Astyanax mexicanus: one gene and its partner. The protein of the gene in region 1 interacts with the protein of each later gene in a biochemical or structural test. Links are inferred from orthologs where the notes say so. Each region holds a gene or a part of one and is shown on either strand. Other genes may lie near its edges.

Region 1 (11,211 bases):
AAACAGCCGCAGCGCCGCTCCGGCTCCGGCTCCTCTCAGCATCCAGACCGCCATCTTCCACACTTCTCTCCAGTGGAAACCCTGCCCAGCGCTTCTTCACCCGCTCCAAACCCCCCAACTCCACCACGAACCGCTCCTCAAACACCCGGAGAACTTTATAAAAACCCTTAACTACCCGCACAAACTCCAAACACCCCCCAACACCGCCGGAAAACACGGCCGAGGCGAGGGAGAGCTCAGCGGGGGACTGCAGCTCCGCTCCCCGGGGATACAGCGGGGTCTCCGGCGTCTCAAACTACCGGCCACCCCGTGCACTGGTGCACTGCCCCCCGGTCAACCAGGCCTCCTTGCCTTCTTCACCTTTACCCACATTTATTCACACTTTTATATATTTATCCACGTTTTACATCACTTTTACACATTCTAACCCTTTAATCTACTCAACAACTTTACAAAAACTTAATGAATAATGCACATTTTAGATTTGCTGATTCATTATTTATACGTTTTGTCAGGGTACCCCCAAAATATGAGCCTGACCAGCCACTTATCTCAGTCACAAAAGTTGCTCATATCTGTTTTTTGTTATATAACTCTATATAACTGTATAACATTAGAATACTAAATCCAGATAAACATAAACCATAAAGTGGTCAGTGAGAGTATCTAAGGTTGCCTGTAATTAACTCTATATTACATAGAAAATAAAAATTACCATAATTAAACATAATGTCAGTTGTAAGAATTAACTCTATATAACATCAGAATAAATCTAAATAAACACTAACTCAGTGATCAGTGAAAGAGTCTACCTGTAATAAACCCAAATAAACATAAGACAGTTGTAGGAATTAACTCAATATAACATTAGAATTAATCGAAATAAACAAAGTGAGTGGTCGGTGAGAGTGTCTACCTGTAATTAACTCTATATCAATACAAACTACCAGCCACTCCATGAACCGCCACCCACACTTTTAGATCTTTATCCACGGTTTTACATCACTTTTACAGCTTTATAAACTTTAATCTACTCCACAACTCCACTATAATTTAGTGAATGATGCAGATTTTAGATTTGCGGATTCATTAATTATACGTTTTGTCAGGGTATCCCCAAACTATGAGCCTGACCAGCCACTTATCTCATTCACAAAAGTAGTTCTACAGGCAAATAAAAGTTTGTTTTAACGACATTTGCCTGTAAAACTTTAGAACGTAACTTTATAACAATAGAATAAACTTAAATAAACATGAAGTCAGCAATCAGTGAGTGTACACCTGTTAATAAATTTATATAACATATAGCGTAAAATAAGCTCAAATAAATATAGAGTAAGTTGTAAGACTTAACTCTATGTAACATGAGAATGAACCTAAGTAAACATAAAGTCAGTTGTAAGAATTAACTCTACGTAACATTAGAATGAACCCAAATAAACAAAGTTAGTGGTCAGTAAGAGTGTCTACCTGTAAAACTCTACTATAATTTAGTAAATTATGCAGATTTTAGATTTGCTGATTCATTATTTATACACTTTGTCAGGGTACCCCCAAAACAGGAGCCTGGCCAGCCACTTATCTCAGTCACAAAAGTAGTCTAAAACTTTTAATAATGACATTAAAACTAACTTTTATTTGCCTGTAAAATTTTATAACGTTAGAATGAACCCAAATAAACAAAGTTAGTGATCAGTGAGAGTGTCTACCTGTAATTAACTCTATATAACATTAGAAAACTAAACCCAAATAAACATTAATAAAGTCAGTGATCAGTGAGAGTATCTACCCGTAATTAACTTTAATTAACTCTATATATAAAGTAAAATAAGCTCAAATAAACAAAAGTCAGTTGTAAGAATTTATTCTATATAACATTAGAATAAACCCAAATAATTGTAAACTCATTGGTCAGTGATTTTATCTACCTGTAATTAACTCTATATAAATACACATAGATAATCATAGATAGATAATCATATCTAGAGTGGCTTAAACTACCGGCCACTCAATAAACTGCCCTTGGTCAACTAGGGCTTCTTCAGACCTTTACCGACTTTTATCCACACTTTTAGATCTTTATCCACAGGTTTAGATTACTTTTACAGCTATAAAAACTTTGATCTACTCAACAACTCCGCTATGACATACTAAATTATTCAGATTTTAGATTTGCTGATTAATTATTTATCATTTTTGTCAGAGTACCGCCAAAAATATAAGCCTGATTCGCCACTGATCTCAGTTACAAAAATAGTCTAAAACTTTTAATAATGTAATTTTAACAAATTTTTATTTGCATGTAAAACGTATTACATATCTAAACCCAAATAAACATAAAGTCAGTGATCAGAGAGTGTCTACCTGTAATTAACTCTATATAACATTAGAATAATAAATCCAAATAAACATAAAGTAAGTGGCCCAATATAGTTACAGCGTATAGTATCAGTAGTACTGTGTAAGCTTCTTTAATAATGTAAATTATTTATATATAAAGTTTAAAGCACAGAATAAATGAATTCAAACCGATATTTTATGTATTTCTCTTTAATACCTGAATCCAGTTAATTCCAGGTTCTACAGTTCATTGACAGTTTATAAATTAGTGCAAATACTTCCATATTCCAAGTATTGGTTAATTTCAAAGTTTTAATAAATAAGTTACATATGCATCAAATACCTATAAAATAGGTTGTGGCCACAACTTGTTAAATTGTTAAAAAAGACACACATTAGTAAAGAGATCGGAACCCAAATCTTCTCACATGCTACTAAACTGTGGCCATTACTTATCTAATTCCTATGCTTTACTAAGTTGTGGTCACAATATTTAATTATCTTGTTACCACATGGTAAAAAGTTGTGTCTACAACTACTGTGTCTATCCCAACATCTTACTATGTAGCGGCCACAACATAATGATTATTTTCCATGACTTATTTAGTTGTAGCCAAGAAACAAGACGTTATCTTATTATTATAGCCTATTAAATTGTGGCCACAACATAATTATCTCATTAACATGGCTTACTATGGCTTTAAGTTGTGGCCTTCACTTGATTATCTTAGTCCCGTATTTTAGTAAGTCTTGACATCCCCACAACATATTGAATCATTGCCACAACATAATTTTCAATACATTCTCATAATTTATTAAGTTGTGGCCACTAATTGACATGAATTACATCGTTACTATGTCTTACTAAGTTTTTGCCACAGAATAATTATCTTGTTCCCATACCTTACTCATTTGGGGCTATAAAATAACTACCAAATTGGCATTACAGTGTGATGATCTCTTTCCCAAGTCTTACTAAGTTGTGGCCATAACTTAATTATTTAATTTCCACAGCTCACCAAGTCGTGGCCACAACTTAATATTTTGTTCCTATATAATTAAGTTGTAGCTATCAGTCAATTGGCTTAATTATTAAATTTCATTGCCTTACTAAAGTTGTGGCTATGACTTAATTATCTTAATTATGTTTAATCTCTTTTCTACACCTTAACAAATTATGGCCATAGTATAATCAAATAGTTCCAATACCAGAACTTGCTAACTAAGCTGTGGCCACAAGTTATTTTTATGTATGCAGGATGTTAAAGCAAGGTTCCGTTGGGTTATCAGTACAAGCCAAAAGACAATCAAGAGCAACAGCAAGACATTTTCAGATCGATTTGATGGTTTTCGCACAGTTTGAGTTCTCTGCGCTGGTTGAGTAGATCTTCACAGTGTGATCTCCACTGTCCAAGACGATCAGAGAGTTCTGCTCAGTTGCTACTAAACCTACTGGACGCACCAGTCCATCCTGGACCAGTGCAGTCATCACAGTCGTCGTCTCCAGGTCCCCCAAACTCCATACGGTGCCTTGTTGGGAATCAGCCACAATGACATTTCCATGTCTGTCAAAGGTGACGTAGGAGATGTTCAGCTTCATTGAGGACATCTGGCTCAAGCCTGAACTGTCCACCAAAGTTAGGAGGACAAAGTCTTGGCTGAACAGCTTTAGTCGAGTTGCTGCAGAACCTCCATTGTGGCGTCTTTGGACCTCCATGTGCTCCAAGACTGCAACACACCCAGAAACTTTACATGACACTACAGCTCTTGGGCATTGAAGGTCTTGCAGAACCACCATCTTGGTTGAGACAACATTCTGTCCAAAGTCCACCTTTATTTGCCAAAGTTTGCCAGCTTGAGCGTCTGTCACGAGAATGTGCCCACAGTTGTTGATGTCAACTCCCCATGGAAGCTCAAACGGCCCAATGATAGTTGCCAAAGGAAGTCCGCTTGAAGTAAAGACCTTCACTGAACTGTCTCCAGCATCGGTCACAACAATATGACCACTGGTAGATACTGCAACATCAAGAACGTGGCACAGTTGGTCACGGTTGTGACCGTAACAACCGAAGCTGTGCAAATAGTGACCCTGAGAGTTGAAGATGTTGACCTTCTCATGGCCCCCGTGCACCACCACCACTGATGCCATTGATGGCTCGAGTACTGCGACCCCAGTTGGGTTGATGAGTGTACCCCAGCCTCCAAAAGCGGCACGAAGATGCATCTGGACGAGCAAACCTGGCGATTCTGCACTGGCTTGTGGTCCCATTCCTTCTGGGCATGGATGACCAGAGCAAGATGGGCCTGATCCAGGAACTCTGTTGGCTGAACAGCTTGGAATTCCAGCCGAAGCAACCAGGTCCTGAAGGTCAAGCAAGGCTTGGCAGTCGTAGGTGCCCCCGATATCGCACAAGCGCCTGCAGAAAGGGCACTCCAGTTGGCGCAAGACAGGGTGTGCCAGGGCACAGACACATGCCAGGCAGATCACGTGACCACAGGGCAGGTTCCTAGGTCTCCGCCCATTCTGGTCTGAGGAGAACCTTTCGAAGCAGACCTTACACTCCAGCAGGTCAGAGCGGATCTCCTGCAGAACCTCCTCTGCACCTTTTACCCTTCTAGAGGCAGAGGTGCTTGTTTGGAAGGCAGGGGTCTCAGACATGTCCAGTTTCTCCAATTTGTCCAATTATTTTTGGTGTGGAAAAGAAAAGAACAGATAGAACCATTAAAAAGAAGAAGAAGCAGAAGCTGAAGTTCTGCTACAACACCATGTTTCTATATTTACTGAATGCCTCTCTCTCCGTCATGTGATCCTGACTGTCGGAATCTAGCAATGTAGGTAATTTGCTTCCATCTATTGGCAAGAAGATGAATTACATCCCAAGAATATTTGTGTTTCAAAGCCATGAATAACATTTAAACCAACATGTTCTCTAGCAGGTAAAGTGAATAACTCTGATTTCATACTTCCAGTGGCTCCTGCCAAAGGAGGGGATCCACATATTAGACAGCGAGTGAACAGTCAGTTTTGGAAGTTGATGTGTTGAAGAAGGAAAAAAGAACAAATGGACGTAAAGACCTGGGACACTTTGAGAAGACGAACCAAACAGAATAGATAATCTCTAGAACATCATGCAGGTCTTTTGTGGGGTGTTCCTGGTATACAAATGATGAGTTTCTTTGATTTTATCTAATTGAAAACCTCTGGAATATAATCAAGATGAAGATGGATGATCACAAACCATCAAACCAAACTGAACTGCTTGATTTTTTTGCACCAGGGGTAAAGCAGCATACAGTTATCCAAAAGCAGTGTGTAAGACTGGTGGAGGAGAACATGATGCCAAGATGCATGAAAACTGTGATTAAAACCCAGGGTTATTCCACCAAATATTGATTTCTGAACTTATGAATATGAACTTTGTATTATTTGAGGTCTGAAAGCTCTGCATCTTTTTTGTTATTTCAGTAATTTCTCATTTTCTGTAAATAAATGCTCTAAATGACAATTTTTTTTTTTTGGAATTTGGGAGAAATGTTGTCTGTAGTTTATAGAATAAAACAACAATGTTCATTTTACTCAAACATAAACCTATAAATAGCAAAATCAGAGGAAATGATTCAGAAACTGAAGTGCTCCCTTATTCTGCATTATTATAGTATTATTGGGTATTATTATTTTATAATTATATCATTCATTTCACCCCTAATTGAACCTGATCTATGCTCTGAGCTGCTGGATTTGTTTGGTACAGTACATCTGCAGTAAATTTAGATTGAAACCTGAGCTCTTTATGAGCGGGGTGTGCAGGACGTCCGTGTATTTCCGTCCAGGAGGGACACTGGACACTGTCTGGTCATCGAAACAGCCCATCAATCAGAGGGCATTCGAGACCAAATACATACCGGATACACTTTCATCTCACCAGCTTCACCCAGCTGCTCCATTCAGTCCCAGCAGATACAAGCACTGAGTAACTCAAGATATGGGTTTCTAATAAAGTGGCCAGCGAGTAAGTGGAAGCACAAGGTAATGTAGGTAGGTGTTTCTAATAAAGTGGCAAATGTGTAGGTGTTTCTTATAAAGTGGCCAGTGATTGAAAGCACAAGATAATGTAGGTAGGTGTTTCTAATAAAGTGGCCAGTGAGTGAAAGCACAAGGTAATGTAATGTAGGTAGGTGTTTCTAAAAAGTGGCCAGTGTGTAGGCGTTTCTTATAAAGTGGCCAGTGAGTGAAAGCACAATATAATGTAGGTAGGTGTTTCTAATAAAGTGGCCAGAAAGTGAGTGAAAGCACAAGGTAATGTAAATAGGTGTTTCTAATAAAGTGGCCACTGAGTGGAAGAAGCACAAGGTAATGTACGTAGGTGTTTCCAATAAAGTGGCCAGTAAGTGGAAGAAGTACTTACTGGAAACATAATGTTGGTAGGTGTTTCCAATAAAGTGGCCAGAGAGAGGAAACAAGATAATGCAATGTAGGTAGGTGTTTCTTATAAAGTGGCCATACAGTGAGTGGAAGCACAAGGTAATGTAATGTAGGTACGTGTTTCTAATAAAGTGGCCAGAGAGTGAAATTACAAGGAAAAAATGAGAAACTAGTCACAGATAGAAGAAATTTTAATTTGAAATGCAGTGAAATCCAAACAATTACGTACATAACTACACAATAACATACATATTACTGTTGTGTAAATCCATTATAAACACAGAAAAGTTGTAATATTGAAATGTACACTCTCTTTTTTCTGTATGAAATATGTATTTTTACTGTTTTCTAGCTCATGCTATGGTCCAAACGGAGATATATTTATATATTTATATTGACTAGTGTTAGCTGCACTAAACCAAACCAGTCTCAATGTAAAATCAGCAGCAGGTGGAGGTGGGATGAACTGTGGTGAAGATATGTAGATGCGAATCATAAAAGATTATAGATGTTAAAAGTGTATTCTGCTCGTAAATAAAGGCTGCATTCACATTGCATGTACAGTGGCCTTTTTACATTTTTGACCAAATCCGATGTTTTTTTTTGCTTGTTTGTTTGTTTTAATGCAACCTATATCTAACATTGGTCTGAAATGTATGCACCCATAAACTGACACTGTGCTTCACGTCAAGTTTCGGTTTTATCTCCACAAGTTACGTTTACCTAAACCATTACCAAATCATTTACAGTTATATTTCTGCATTAGGATTTATACAGGATATAAAATCTATGGTTCTTGGGGTTAATCTTTCTTTTTTTAAAGCTTTGTATTTTCCTGTGAAGTTGCAGCAAAAATGCCCTCTTTTTTCCTACTCCTTGATTTAAAACAATGAATTGCGTGTGAATTCTGTTCGGGCTGTTTAGACTAAATCCCTATCTGGTCATGATTAGTGGTCAGGAGTTTCTCTTTAATTCTACTCCGTGATTAAACTCCTGCATCTGGACTGCAACTGAAAAACACAGGAGGACCAGTGAGGTTTTTTTAGGCTTTCTCAGTCACATGACAGAGTTCAGTAGCTCCTCCATTTCCACTCGCTGTTGTGTTTTACACTGTTGTGTGGATCTCCGTGGAAACGCCCAAGCGCCCAAAGTGTAATTATGGTGCGCGGCAGTGGACAAAGCTATTTTATTAAAGGCGAGTAGACGAAACTCTGAGATGTGGATCTGAACGGGACTAAAATTACCAGAGGAGCACGGAGTTCAGGAAAACAGTAGATAATTCAGCCTGTAATTTTCTCAGAGGACGTCTGAGAAAAACACGTACATGGTCGTTCCGAAAGGGAACAAAATCACAGAGGATTAAACCCCCCCCCATAAAAGAGAAAATTACCCCAGAATCCCATCCAGATATGGCTTAAATCATATTGAAACTAAGATTTTTTTAATTTTTATTGCTACATTAAACACAGCAGGTAAACGTAGCCCAACTACAAATGTTGTTTTTAGGCATTTGGCAGTGTGAACGGTACAAAACACATTGAATCTGACATTTTTAATTCCAGTATGCCAACTTCCTGCTGTTGTGTGCTGTGTAAATGTAGCCAAATTTGACCAAATCTGATTTCTCAAGCAATGAATGATTTCCCACCGTTTTGAATAACGTAAAAACGCATTAAATCTGATATCTTCAGTTTTCCTATTTGGGCCACTTTTACATGTTTATATGTGGTACTGAAATCTGATACATATCCAAAACGTGGCAATGCGACTCAATCTAAGTAGCCAGAGTGGAATTGATGCTTTTTTTTATTTCACATCCTTCAATCCAACTTAAGAATCAAGGAAGTCAGCATGGCTGAATAACACACACGGTTGCTGGAGAAGACGAAACCGAAACTTAATGTGAAGCGCTGCTCTTTATAACATAAGCGTGAGTTTAGAAATGTGAACAGCCAAAATAAGCACCGGATTGGGTTGAGGGAGTTAGATTTAAGCGCTTTCAAACCCCGTGTGACAAGTGTTGCAAAAACGGTCCAAATTAGAATTTTATTTTCAGATAGCGATAAACACACTTAATTGAGAATCTGCAGTTCAGATTCGATTTGGACCAATTTTATGAGTAGAAGTGAAATCAGATAAATATCCAATTTGTGTCAACAAGGGCTCGGAGCGGTCCAGCAGTCTAAAGCGCTGCCACTATGATTAGGAGATCGCCGGTTCGCCGGACAGTTGTTTCGCTCTCGCTTGGTGGGTACAGTAGGCGCTCTTTCCCATAACCACTCCTAGATGATGTGGATCAGCACAAAGCTGCATCTGTGAGCTGATTTATCAGAACCGCGTTACTGCACTTTCCTCTGAGTGTTAGTGCTGTGATGCTACTCGGTAACAAAAAACCTTAAAAACATCAGATTTGATAAGAAAATCAGATTTGTGCCGTTTTCATCAGCAGTGTGAACGTAGCCCAATACTCTCTAAATCAGACATTGTCAGATTAAAGTAGACGCTCTGTTTAAAACCACCGCAAACGTAACATATGTAAAGTTAATGCAAACACATCCTGGTGCTCGCTCTACTGGTAACGGAGATTCTGTAAGTAGTAAGTGGATATGGGTCGGGGGAAAAAGGCATTTAAATGTTTTTTAAACGTTTTTTTTTTGTTTTTTTTTACAGAAGGTAAAGTAACAAACAAAAAAAAGAAACAAAAGGTTCGATGTGAACGGAACATTTTGGCAAATGAAGGCAAAGCTAAACTTCTTCAGTCAATAAAGCGTGGGGGCTCAGGCCACAACCAACAGCAGCAGGATTGTCATCAGGACTGTGCATTTCGTGGGAAATTTTACAAAGAAGTTAACAAGATATTTTAAAGCGATAGTTTGGAGAAAAATCTAATTTTTGATATCTACAGTATATGGACAAAAGTATCAAGAAGATATACCATTCTAAACCAACAGGAATTAATACAATTAATGTCCAAATACTTTAGTCCATATAGTGTATGTAAATTTATCTTCATTTTTGCTGTTTTTTTTTTAAATCAAAATATCATGATAAATCAACCATTCAACCAACATGAAAATGTTTGGACACACCATCTAAACTCTTGCTCTTCCTTTTCTTGGGCGGTCCTGATGCGTGCCAGTTATATCATTACATTTTTGATGGTCTTTTTCGACTGCACTTGAGGATTTTCTTTACTTAGTTGAGTAGTTCTTTTCATAATATGGATGTATACCAACTCTACCTCTTCACAACTTTACTTTAACTGATGCTCTCAAACACTTTATTAAGAGACAAGAAATTCAGGTAATTAACTCTTGATGAGTTCAGCACAGCTGTTAACTGAAATCAGCCTGAATTCCAGGTGGAGTGGAGCTACTTTGAAGAATCTGAAAATGGATTGACTTTAGTACAGAACATTTTTAATCAGTGAAAAATCACAGAATATAAAGTGTGTCCAAACATTTTTGAGGTCTATCACTTTAAACCTATTGAAGCCTGTTTGAAATAACCCTGCTTATTGTGATCACTCCTGAAACCAAACAGACACAATAACCTTAAAACCAGAGAAAAAAAAAGAGGCGGTATTAGAAGAGGAACAGAGGAACAGAACGTTAATAAAAGTGTTAGTTATTAGAACACACACTCATGCAGGCACATTACTGTGGAGTAAAGCTTCTACCCTCTCTGATTAACTGCTGCAGAAGAAAGGTTATATTATTCCACAAAACACAATTTATCCATTGATTTCATTATTAAAGGAATACGCCAACACTTTACCAAGCTTTAAACTGCACCCACTGACCCTTCTGATTATTAGAATAGGTACAAACATCAACCTACTGGCCCCATGCTAAAGCTAATGCAAGGAGTGGTCTATGTAGAGGGGTATAAAGACCAAGCTCTAAAGCTCTTCAGACTAGTAGAAAGTCTTTCCCATACAGTAGAGAGACAGTTACCCCAACAAAATCAGGATTAACTCTTTTTAATACCTTTGATTTTAGAATAAACAATGAATGAGCAGGTGTCCCATGACTTGTGCCCATGTTATGTAATCTTAAACCACACTAAGTTGGTAATTTGTTGAGTAATATGAAATTTAACTTTGATCCTATTGTTTTAGACACTGTATTTTGGTCATATTTATTGATAACAGTATCAAAAAAACATATACAGCTCTGAACAACTACTTAAAAATGATGAGTTTCTTTTATTTGACCAAATTGAAAACCTCTGGAATATAATCAAGAGGAAGAACCAAGCTGAGATAATAGAATTTTTGCACCAGGAGTGTAAATCATAAAGTTATCCAAAAGCAGTGTGTAAGACTGGTGGAGGAGAACATGATGCCAAGATGCATGAAAACTGTGATTAAAAACCAGAACCAGGGTTATTCCACCAAATATTGATTTCTGAACTCTTAAAACTTTATGAATATGAATTTGTTTTCT
Region 2 (11,211 bases), on another chromosome or scaffold:
AACTATAAAAATGGATTAACTGATTTAATTCATTTTTGTCAAAAAGTAAAACAAATATGTACAAAAGAAATCTAAAAATCTAAAAATTAAAACAAAATAATTGTCATAATGCCAGTGATGGCATAGTTTTTTTTGAAGTAATGATTACTTAAAAATTACTGATTACTCCTTTAAAACATACAAAGTAACTAAGTTAGTTTACAAGTTACTGTATTTGTTACTGATAACAACAAGAAAAGTGTCACGTCTGGTGCTGTTAGCTCCTCTGTCCCTTCCACACCCAGCTCCAACGGAGGCTCTCAGTCTAACAACTACACTACCCAGAACGCACCACCCGCTGACATCACACACACACCTGATCACATGACACCTCACCTGCTTCCTCCAGGATATCCTGAATACTGATTACTGGCACTATATAAGAGCACACCACACACACACACCCACTAGTATTGTTGGTTCTACATCATTACGAAGCGTTTCTGAATTACCTGTCTCTGCTTTTTTCGTGTATGACCTTGCCTTTTGTTTTCTCGACGCTGATTATTGCCTTTGCCTCTGATATTGGATTTTTTTTGTGTTTGACCTGGACTGTGTTTTCACTACTGCCTCTTGGATTATCTCTGCTGCTGGATATCTGCTGCTGGTATGAACTCTGGACTGTTTCATGGTTATGGTATGGTTTTGTCTACGTTGCTCCTGTTATTGGTGATCACCTGTTTTTCTGTACCGACCACGATCTACCTTTGTTTATTCTATAATAAACATTGTTTTATCAGTATCTGTACGTGTCTGCATTCTGTACAAACCATGACAAAAAGCTTGTTTTGTGTCCATTACTGTTATTATTATTGTTGTTGATATAAAAAAAGAAATGCACACTTAAATTAATATACAGCTCTGGAAAAACATAAGAGACCACTTAAAAATTATGAGTTTCTTTGGTTTTACCAAATTGAAAACAATTGGAATATAATTAAGAGGAAGATGGATGATCACAAGCCATCAAACCAAGCTGAACTGCTTGAATTATTGCACCAGAATTGACATGAAGTTATCCAAAAGCAGTGTGTAAGACTGGTGGAGGAGAACATGCCAAGATGCATGCAAACTGTGATTTAAAAACAGGGTTATTGCACCAATTATTGATTTGTGAACTCTTAAAACTTTATGAATATGAACTTGTTTTCTTTGCATTATTTGAGGTCTGAAAGCTCTGCATCTTTTTTGTTATTTCAGCCATTTCTCATTTTCTGCAAATAAATGCTCTAAATGACAATATTTTTATTTGATATTTAAGAGAAATGTCAGGAGTTTATAGAATAAAACAAAAATGTTAAGTTAACTCAAACATAAACCTGTAGCAAAATAAGAGAAACTGATTCAGAAACTTAAGTGATCTCTTAATCTTTTCCAGAGCTGTATATTTATATTAATAAATACTAGACCAGGTACGTTGGCAAAACATTTTGATTTGTTTTGATATAATTTTCTCTCATATAAATAATACACAGTACTCTGTGCTGGTAGTTTAGAATTTCTCTTAATAGCAACCTAGCTGCTAAGTTTAACACCAGATTCCCATTATGTCCAAAAGTGGAGTGACTGTCTAATTCACATTATGTCAAAATATAAAAAAATGCTTTAAAATGCAGAAACAGTCAGATCTACATTAAAATAATAGACAGCATATGCTGTGGACTCAAGCATGTAATAAATTTATATGATCTATAACTGATCAGTATATGAGTGCATTAATACTCTGGGTGTTAAGTGTTGTGCATTAACCTAATAGGGTTGTAATCAGCCACACTTTGGCCAACTACTTGGCCAGTTGGCCCACAGAGAATCCCAAATGCCATAAATGATGAATTTTAGCATACTGAAGATGATAAAGCTTCTTAGTTCTTTATGAACTAGTTCTAGTCATTCACACAGACTAAACATCATTTAAAAAGTCTTGGTGACGAACATACGCTTGACTGGTCTTCAGATTTGATGAGGCCTGCTGGGAAAACTCAGACATGTCATTCTAATGCTTGAGCCAAGCCTAGAATTGATAGCCTGGGAAGTCTGCCTGATAGCCTGAGTATGACAGCACTGTCCAAAGAGCATAAATGAGGTCTTTGCAGGGCCCTTAGGAGACAAAATCCTCACACCCTGATAGGGCAGTGCTGAAGGGACCAACTAATGGACACTTTGTTCACAACATGTCTACGGTATTGTCATTCTAAATAAAGTAAAATGACAGCAGCAATTACGGCGTAATAAATAGTTATGACCCTATTTATTTTGTTGATTATGTTATCATCCATTGTGTTTGTTTTAGGGCTGTCAACATTAAAGCATTGATGCGAATAATTTGGAATCAATAATGCGGTATTTATATTTTACGTAATTAGTTAAGCCACCAAGTTTGACCCCAACTCCCCCTGTAATTTGCCCATGGAGGGGTTCGCATGTGGTGAAAATGTGATCAAATATACTTCTTTTTAATCGAGCTAAACTGCTGATAAAATGCAGTTTAATCTGACATATTAGCCAGATAATATACTGCTATGAACAAACACAGTCTCTGATGCTCCATGCTGTTCACATTGAGGGTGATATGTGCAGCGTTCACTACTTGCTGCCATGCTGCACGTCACGTTGAAAACAGTTTGTTTAAAAGCACAGCAGCAAATTTTCAGTGTTCTGTGTTAAAGCAGCACTGTCACTGCACATATATACACCCTGGAACACAGAATCTTCTCACAATATTTACTTTCTTGCTCCCGCGACAGACAGCTCTGACCAATCAGAGGAGACAAAATGCTCACTTAATTGGAACCCTAGTTATTGAGAAACATTTTTTTTGTTTTTATAGCACCACCTATCGTTTAATTGGGGTGAAACCTGAATGCCTTTCAAAGAATTATGTGTTTAGCAAAACTCTTAATTTTAATCTTAACTCTTAATCTTGATTTTAAGCCATTTATCTTAACTAATCTCCACCCCAGGATGACTAATTTGCATATAGCAGCAATGTTAATAAATATGAACATTTAAATAAATCTTGATCAAAATCACTCTGCTGAACATTTTGATACCTATATTGTCTATAATAATATATGTATATAATTTAAAAATCAACAAACAGTAGAAAAAATATGTTTTGTAGATTTTGCTAAATATGGCAGTGGTGGATGTGGGCGGAGCTAAAAACTTACAATGAGTCGTTAATGCAGAAAACTTGCCGGAATAAGATTCAAAATGTTTCACTCTACATGTCACAGTTGCTGAGATACTAACCCAAATTCAAAACATTGCTTTATAGTGCCACCATCAGGCCAACTTAGGTCATTTCTTTTGCCTGAGTAGTGGGTACATTACAGTACCTCTCTGCCAAATTTAAAGTTTGGATGACCTTCAATACTGCTCTACAACATTTTTTAAAGAATAAAAATAATAATAAGAAAACTCTGAGCAATTCCAATAGGGTTCCAACACCTACGGTGCTTGGACCCCTAATTTAGACACTGTCAGATTACCAAAAAGCAATCAAATGATAAAAATGATAAAACTGACACAGTCACATTTTGTAAAAAAGTGAACAAATTAAATGTGCAGTTTTTTCAAATACATTTTGACAGTTTGACAAAGACAATAAGCATTTGATGCATTTTATGTAGAATTTTTCAGCCCCTATTTTGCCCAGCAGTGTAGCTTAGTAAACACTGCAGAACGTAATGTCTGATTTACATAACTAGAAATATGTTAAATTATTTTAATTCTAACACAGATGACAACACTCCCTTCTATTTCCTTATATATTTAACCTATTTCCATATATTTAACAAGGAGGTTCTTACAACAAATTCACATGTTTTAACTTTATTATGCTCTGCCTCTGGCTAATTCATCTGTGATTTTGATACATATTTTTTAAACTGATTTTCAATCCTGCCTGGTTTTGTAACCAAAGGCGGTTCTTTAATTAGGCAAACCTAGGCATTTGCCTAGGGCCTCAACCAAATCTGTCCTCCATAGGGGCCCCCAAATCTGACCATCCCAGCTACAGTAAATACACCAAAAACAATTTTAATTTGTTACTTATGTAAAGAAAAGAAAAAACATATTTTTATTAAAAAAACAACAGAAATATCAGTAGAATACCAAGTTAATGTCTAAATACTAATGGTCCAAACACACATACCCCCCCCTCCGTTGCTTGCATTGAACTAGTCCATAATATGATGACGTAGCAATGTGCCACACGACGTGACTTTAAACCAAAACAGCGGGAACTGTACGCGACTAGAGTGAGAGCTGTCACAGTGAAAATGAAGCGGAGTTATGAAAGTGGTTCTGCTAAACTAAAGAAACGGACAGAGAGCAAAAGAATCGCAGATGCACTGCCAAAATTCACCTCCTTTTTTATCAGTGATCAGTGTTTTTGGGGCCGATTCTGATCGCCGATCACCTTTCACCACGATCGGCCGATCGCCGATACTGATATTGGTTGGGGCCAAATGCCACATTAATGCCACACAGGTGGCAGACAAACCTGGTACAGAGCTCTGATTAACTGCTTAACCGTAAACTCCTGAATCAGATTGGCTAAAATCAGAAGAATATCTGCCGATCGCCTATACCGTATTTTGGCTGAAAATCAGCCGATACCGATACACTGCCGATCGATCGTTCCATTTCTAGTTATTTGGTTTATGTGTGTGTTTTAAGAATTAGGGCCCCTTGTTTATATTTTGCCTAGGGACCCAAAATGGCTAGATCTGCCCCTGGTTGTAACCTAGGGGGCCATCACATACAACAGTCGGCTACCTGCAGTAGAAATATGAGGAAAACTAACAGCTTAGCAATGTGATTCAGGGTTTCCAGGAAAATGCTCTTTCACACACAGCAAAGCTTCCGAGGACTGTATCTAGAGGATTTCTATTCAAGCATCACATATAAAGGTTTCATGTTTGAAAAAAACATTACTAAAAATCCTAATTGTGAATGTAATATAAAATATTTAAAGTCAATTTGAAAATACTGTATACTGAATAAAAATCATAAAATCAAAAATTTTTTCTGAATACAAATCAAACATTTCATGTCCTCCAAACAGTTTGTTTTGTTATGGTTGTCTAGTTTTTATATGTTTTTTCAAACATGCAGAATTTGGGTTGATTTGTGTAATTGATCAAAAATGTGTGAACAGGAAGCTTCTCCTTTTAGGAGACCCCCAATCTTGTAGGAGACCCCAAAGCCCTCAATGTTTTCAGAATGTAAATTACTTCAAAATTATATTACAGTAAAAATTATATCCAGTCTGCCTTTTATTTCAAAAGTAGGGTGTAAATTGTATGACTATGACAAAAATAGATAAATGAGTATATACAAGAGGAATTGTATAATAAATTCTTGTTATAAAATGTGGCTTCAAGTTTTGAGGTTGTTATTGTTTATATATATATATATATATATATATATATATATAATGTATTAATAAAGTCCACTCGGTTGAATATGTGAGTACTGAGGATTATATGTTGATACCTTCCCACACATAGTTCCCGTCGACCCGCTGTATGAACTTGAACCAGTGCTTGTCGGTGAACGGCTCGGCGAGCTGCACCTGGCCGGTCCACAGGCAGGGTTCGCGGGTGGACAGCAGCGGCCGCGCCGCGCTCATCCGGACGGCTTTATCGGGGCTCCAGTGGCCGAGCTCCGGGCGGGAGCCCAGCACAAACACCTCCGTGTCCGGGCGGGCGGGGGTCAGAATCACCCCGAACCTGAAAACCAGCATCTCTAACAGGGACTGAGAGCAGCGCGGGTTCAGTCCGGGTCTATAGAGCCGGTGTGTGAGAGACCTCTGACATTAAAGAGCAGCGGAGAAAAACCCGGAGCTAAAAATACCGCCAGCACAGGAGCTCTGCCGCGTTCCGCTCGAGCTGCGAGAATAACGGCTGTCTGATTAATGATTATTTATTAATGAAGGCTTAAACCTATTGTATTTAACCTTCTGGATGGTTGTTAAATTCTGTTAAACTCAGATACTCGTGTGGGTTCAGCTCGCTTGTTTTGTTTAAGTTGTAGTTTTTAAACCGACGCATTACAACGCAGCCGGCCCTGAACACGCTCGCTAAAAACTACAATTCCCATAATGCATTAGAGAGTAAATCTGCAGACTAGCAACAGCTAGAGGACAGGAAGGTTACTGTTATAATCACTGAAATGATTATTTATGTAAAATGATCCTGTAAGGTGAGCATTTTTAAATATGTGATTAAAAATATTTTAAAAATAGTTTTCTTCTTCTGATTTACTTCTGATCACTGTATTCGTCAGCTATATAATATACAGTTGCAAGAAAAAGTATGTGAACTCTTTGGGATTACATGGATTTCTGTATAATTTGGTCATTAATGGGTTCTAATCTTCATCTAAGTCACAACAATAGACAAACACAGTATGCTTAAAAAATAATAAATATATATGTTTTCATGGTTTTATTAAACACAACATGTTAACATTTACAGGACAAGTGGAAAATATGCGAACCTTTGGATTTAATAACTGGTTGACCCTCCTTTGGCAGAAATAACCTCAACCAAACGTTTCCTGTAGCTACAGATCAGACCTGCACAACAATCAGGAGGAATTTTTGGACCATTCCCCAAACAAAACTGTTTCAGTTCAGCAATATTTTTGGGATATCTGGTGTAAATCTCTCTTTAGGTCATGCCACAGCATCTCAACTGGGTTAAGGTCCTGCAAAATGTCTTGGTAAACTTGAGAACTCATGATGAGGGCAATCCCTCTTGTTATCATGATTTACTACAACCAAGTTCATTTCACACTGTATTTCTCCTTTAATCCCTATTAGTCGTAGCACAGTCCAGATAGCATGCCCTTGTGGGACCTGTGTAACTAGCCCCAATGGGATCTAGATGTTTTTTTTTTTCATCAGGTTCCATGTTGGCACCACATGTAGATGTCAGTGATGGGCCCAATCAGGATTATTAATGGGACCAGAAGGGGTTAAACATGGGCCCCATCTGGGTTGTACAATGCACACAGGACCTAGATAGGACACATGTGAGATTAGGACACATGTGAGATTAAGACTTTAATGGTGAGACAGGCTGGGTCCCAGTAAAAACACATATACAATCTCACTCATGCCCATCTAAAGCCCAATGAAACGCACCTAGCCCACATTACAGCCATTTGTGGCCCACATGTGCATGTTGGATGGGTGCGGTACACATCACCATAATTTTTTAGCATGGTAAAAAAGCTGTGATGCCTGTGTCAGCATCAGTGGTCTACACAAGGGATGTCCAGTACAGGCCTAAGACATTAAAAAACTGAAATGTCCTTATTTACTTGAAAACAGGAGAAGCTATTGGCTTACATTGCTATCAAACACAGGATTTATACTGTCCTCAGATTTTGGATAACATTTGACAAAATTTTACTTTTTTTGTTTTTTACCTATTTATTCAAACACCATGAATAGATTTAAACAGCTAAGCCAACATTAAAACTTCATTTTTATCTGCATAATGTGCCATTTATTGTCTAGTTGTTTACAATGGCCAGTCCATCGTACAACTACCTGCCAAAAATAAATTAAAATATATAAAAATACTGCCCAGACTATATCATGTTAATAACTATAGAAGCTTAACCCAAAAATATCATGACTTATTACATGCATCTGGGCTTAATGACCAACCTTTTTAATTAGATTTTATTAACTGGTTTATTCCTTATAAGCTGCCTTTAAGTAAAAATTTATTAACATAGATTCCCTGGTCAATGACACCAGCCTCAGGAAAAGCCACAAATAGACATGAAGAGTTGGCTTTTGGTGTGGTACAACAAGCAAAATCAGGTTCAGGAAACATATATTGTGTAGACTCACTCAACCAAACAACTGACCTTTCTGAGTAAAGGCTACAACAGAATGGACCACAGTTCAGTGGCTCCAAACAAAATACTTATGTGTTCTGGGGTCACTGAGTTTTCTAATAACTCCAGAGATGCTCCTCTTTTCAACTCCTTATGTGTGGTGGGGAACAACCAACAGACCCTTAATATTTTTGTGCAGTCTATTTCTGATGCTAGATGCATTGCTATCAAAATATTGTACATTCTGGCACTCAATTAAAAAAAAATATATATATATATATATATATATATATATATATATATATATATATATATATATATATATATATATATATATATATATATATATATATATATATATATATTCAGTGACCCATCATGTGATGTGTGATATAGTAGTTTAGTTTTGTTGTATAGACATCCCAGGGAAAATGTACTCAGTGGCTGCGTCCAGAAACTTTTGCTACTCCTCCTCTCCTACCCCGGAAGAAGGTGGAGGAATCGAGGAGAGGAGAGGAGGAGGAGGAATGGAGGGAAGGAGCTGTAATTGGGGAAATGGGACAGCTGATCCCTTTTAGATAGGATGTTGACTACCGTTGAACTGAGCCAATCACAACGCTCACAGTTTCCTCATCAGTCCCTAAGTTAAAATAAATAAGTAAATAAATGAATAAATTAAATAAAATTAATTCGTAAAAAAAAAATTATATATATATATATATATATATATATATTATAAATAATATATGTTTTTATATGTATAACATGATACACATAGGGTCATAAATATAGTTTTACTGAGCATACAGTTTATCTAAACTATAAATTATGTTACTGCTTTACTGGCTGTTTAATTAGATAAGGAACCTAGTTAATTAATATGTTTATGACGTATATTTGGGTGTTGCCTTCCCCATTTTCGCGTGCTCTGTGGGCGTGGATGCAGTGATGTCATTGGAAAATCCTTAAAAGTCTTCTGGAGTAGGATACACTGATGTACCCTCCGTTGGAAGCCTACTACAGGTGGATTTTAAGCGGCTTATTTCGTCTCCTACGGTATGCGCATTTGCAGGTGATAAATAATCAAAACGTTAGATTGGGTGTTTGGGTAACAACAGTATCTAAACCCCAGTCTCCAGAAAGTTTAGCTATTTTTATTGCAGACAGGCGAGAGCGTGGGACAGTTAATGTGATTTGTTAATGCTGTCAGCTATTCATTTAATTAATTTAAGAAAAACTTTGGAATTTACTTTGAAGTATATTCTTATTCTTTTCCTTATTTTTCATCTTCCTTTTTTTTCTTCTGCTTCTTAATTTAGCTTCTTTTTTTTTTTTTTTTTTAGAATTTTAGCAGAAAACTTTATGTATAATTCAAACTGTACTGTATCCTGGTGTAGAAGATCCGCATGCTGAGGGATAGACTTTAAAAGAAAGAGGCAGAAAAAGTTTAGCAAAGTTTGGTGGCTTGTTACCTTTTCGAATATTAATTTAATTCATAAGAAATTTACTTTAAGGTATTATTATTATTATTATTATTATTGTTGTTGTTGTTGTTGTGTTTGTTGTTGTTAGTAGTATTAATTAAAATATTATTTTATTAAAACACATAAATATTAAACACTGAAACAAGATATAAAAAAAATCACATTCTCTTCATTTACCACATTTACCACATTTTTTTGGTTTATGATGGAAAAACAACTATTAAACACCTTTTTATTTAACATTGCCTAGTGGTATTATTGTTGAAACACTTACATAGAATCAGTATTCTTTTAAAGGTTTTAAATTGTTTTTCTTTTCTTTTATCTTTTTTCTAATCTTACAATGCTTTTAGTTTTTTTTCTGTATTTCTTTTTTTAATTTAACCTGTAATTTAACCCTCCTGTTATATTATGGGTTAAATGTGCAACCACACCCTGCAAAATATGGAGGGTTATTTGTGAAATTATGATATCAGTAAATTAATAAAGAAATAATTGATTAAAACGCTAAATAAATATTTAAAATGAGATTTAATTAATTAAATTATTAATTTATTTAATTATAAATTTATTTCATAGTTGACTGTGATATTTAGATTTAAATAATTGTTTAACTTAAATAATTTAATTCATTATTTAAATATGTATTTCATTATTTCATGCACTATGAAAAAAAAAAATATCTGTCAACATCAACCATCAAACTCTGTGGGCGGGCCTAACTCTCATCGATGCAGACTGATTGGTTAGATTGCACAGTAAGTCATAAAAGAACGATTACAGATGCTCGAGAGCAGCTCTATCAAGCCTCTATAACCTCGTGTGTTTGATCAGTGACAGTGTCTGGGGCTGTAGCCCCTGATTCAGTTTCCTCAGCTTGCCGTAAGATATTCCTAACCAACTCCCGAGAAATGTCCTGCAGATCCACGAAGAGAGCCGCCATGCTGAGGAAAACAATCACAGCAGGCCGGAGCAATCAGTCAGCATCGATGGGAGTCGTCATATACATTTTTTTAAGTTAAATATTTAATGAAATACAAATATATCCATTAACTAACGAAACATTTAATTATTTATGCTTCATTTTCATATTTAAATAAACAAAAAAATTAAGTAATTAAATATTCATTTAAATATTTACTTAATGTTTTAAGCAATTATTTCTTTATTCATTTATTTTTATAATATTGTCACAAATAACCCTCCATAGCAAAAACAGGAACTACTGTGTTTTATTTGTTGTTCTTTCAAAAGTAATAAAGTAGCGAAACATTAAAAAGGAAAAAAGGAGGTAAGGAACACCATTGCAATAAATATTGATGGAAAAATTAGAAATTAAGTTAGTAATGAAATATTCACACTGCTTGTTAGGATTTGTTTGGTTTCAGACATCTTTTGGAAAATTAAACATGCACCAGGTCAAACTGACCCGGGAACACCACTGCTGTTCCTGACAAATGAACATTACAGGAGGGTTAACCAGGCAAATCATTAAGAACCTGGCAAAGGTGAAAGGTGCTCCCCGCAAATAACTATTTTGATTTTGATAATTATTATTTAAATGTCCCTTTCTAAACTGCATACCCAAAGTACAAGATATACAAACAGAATACAAACAATACATACATATTTAATGTAAGCAAAGTTTAATACAAACCATACATATTCAACCATAATGTTGAATTAATGTAAAATCGTTGTGTACAAAAAATAAATATTGACTTTAGATATCAATGGTGTTTTAATGTGTGAGAGATGGAAAAAATAACGCTGATTCATTGTCCTTTTGCTATCTGGGTGGCCACTTAATTTTTTTCCCGCTATA

What was found.
Region 2: the proteins of E3 ubiquitin-protein ligase NHLRC1 (region 1) and epm2a form a complex in vitro, tested with the Homo sapiens proteins (3 studies listed by BioGRID, with this or other methods). The link is inferred for Astyanax mexicanus from reciprocal best matches to the Homo sapiens genes NHLRC1 and EPM2A.

What each region holds. Positions count from the first base shown.
Region 1 is NC_064408.1:123,013,111-123,024,321, reverse strand, and holds E3 ubiquitin-protein ligase NHLRC1, read right to left. Parts: upstream 5,327-11,211; 5' UTR 5,000-5,326; coding exon 3,671-4,999; 3' UTR 2,499-3,670; downstream 1-2,498. UniProt on the Homo sapiens protein: E3 ubiquitin-protein ligase. Together with the phosphatase EPM2A/laforin, appears to be involved in the clearance of toxic polyglucosan and protein aggregates via multiple pathways.
Region 2 is NC_064420.1:13,240,458-13,251,668, forward strand, and holds the start of epm2a (laforin), read right to left. Parts: upstream 6,078-11,211; 5' UTR 5,792-6,077; coding exon 5,542-5,791; intron 1-5,541. UniProt on the Homo sapiens protein: Plays an important role in preventing glycogen hyperphosphorylation and the formation of insoluble aggregates, via its activity as glycogen phosphatase, and by promoting the ubiquitination of proteins involved in glycogen metabolism via its interaction with the E3 ubiquitin ligase NHLRC1/malin.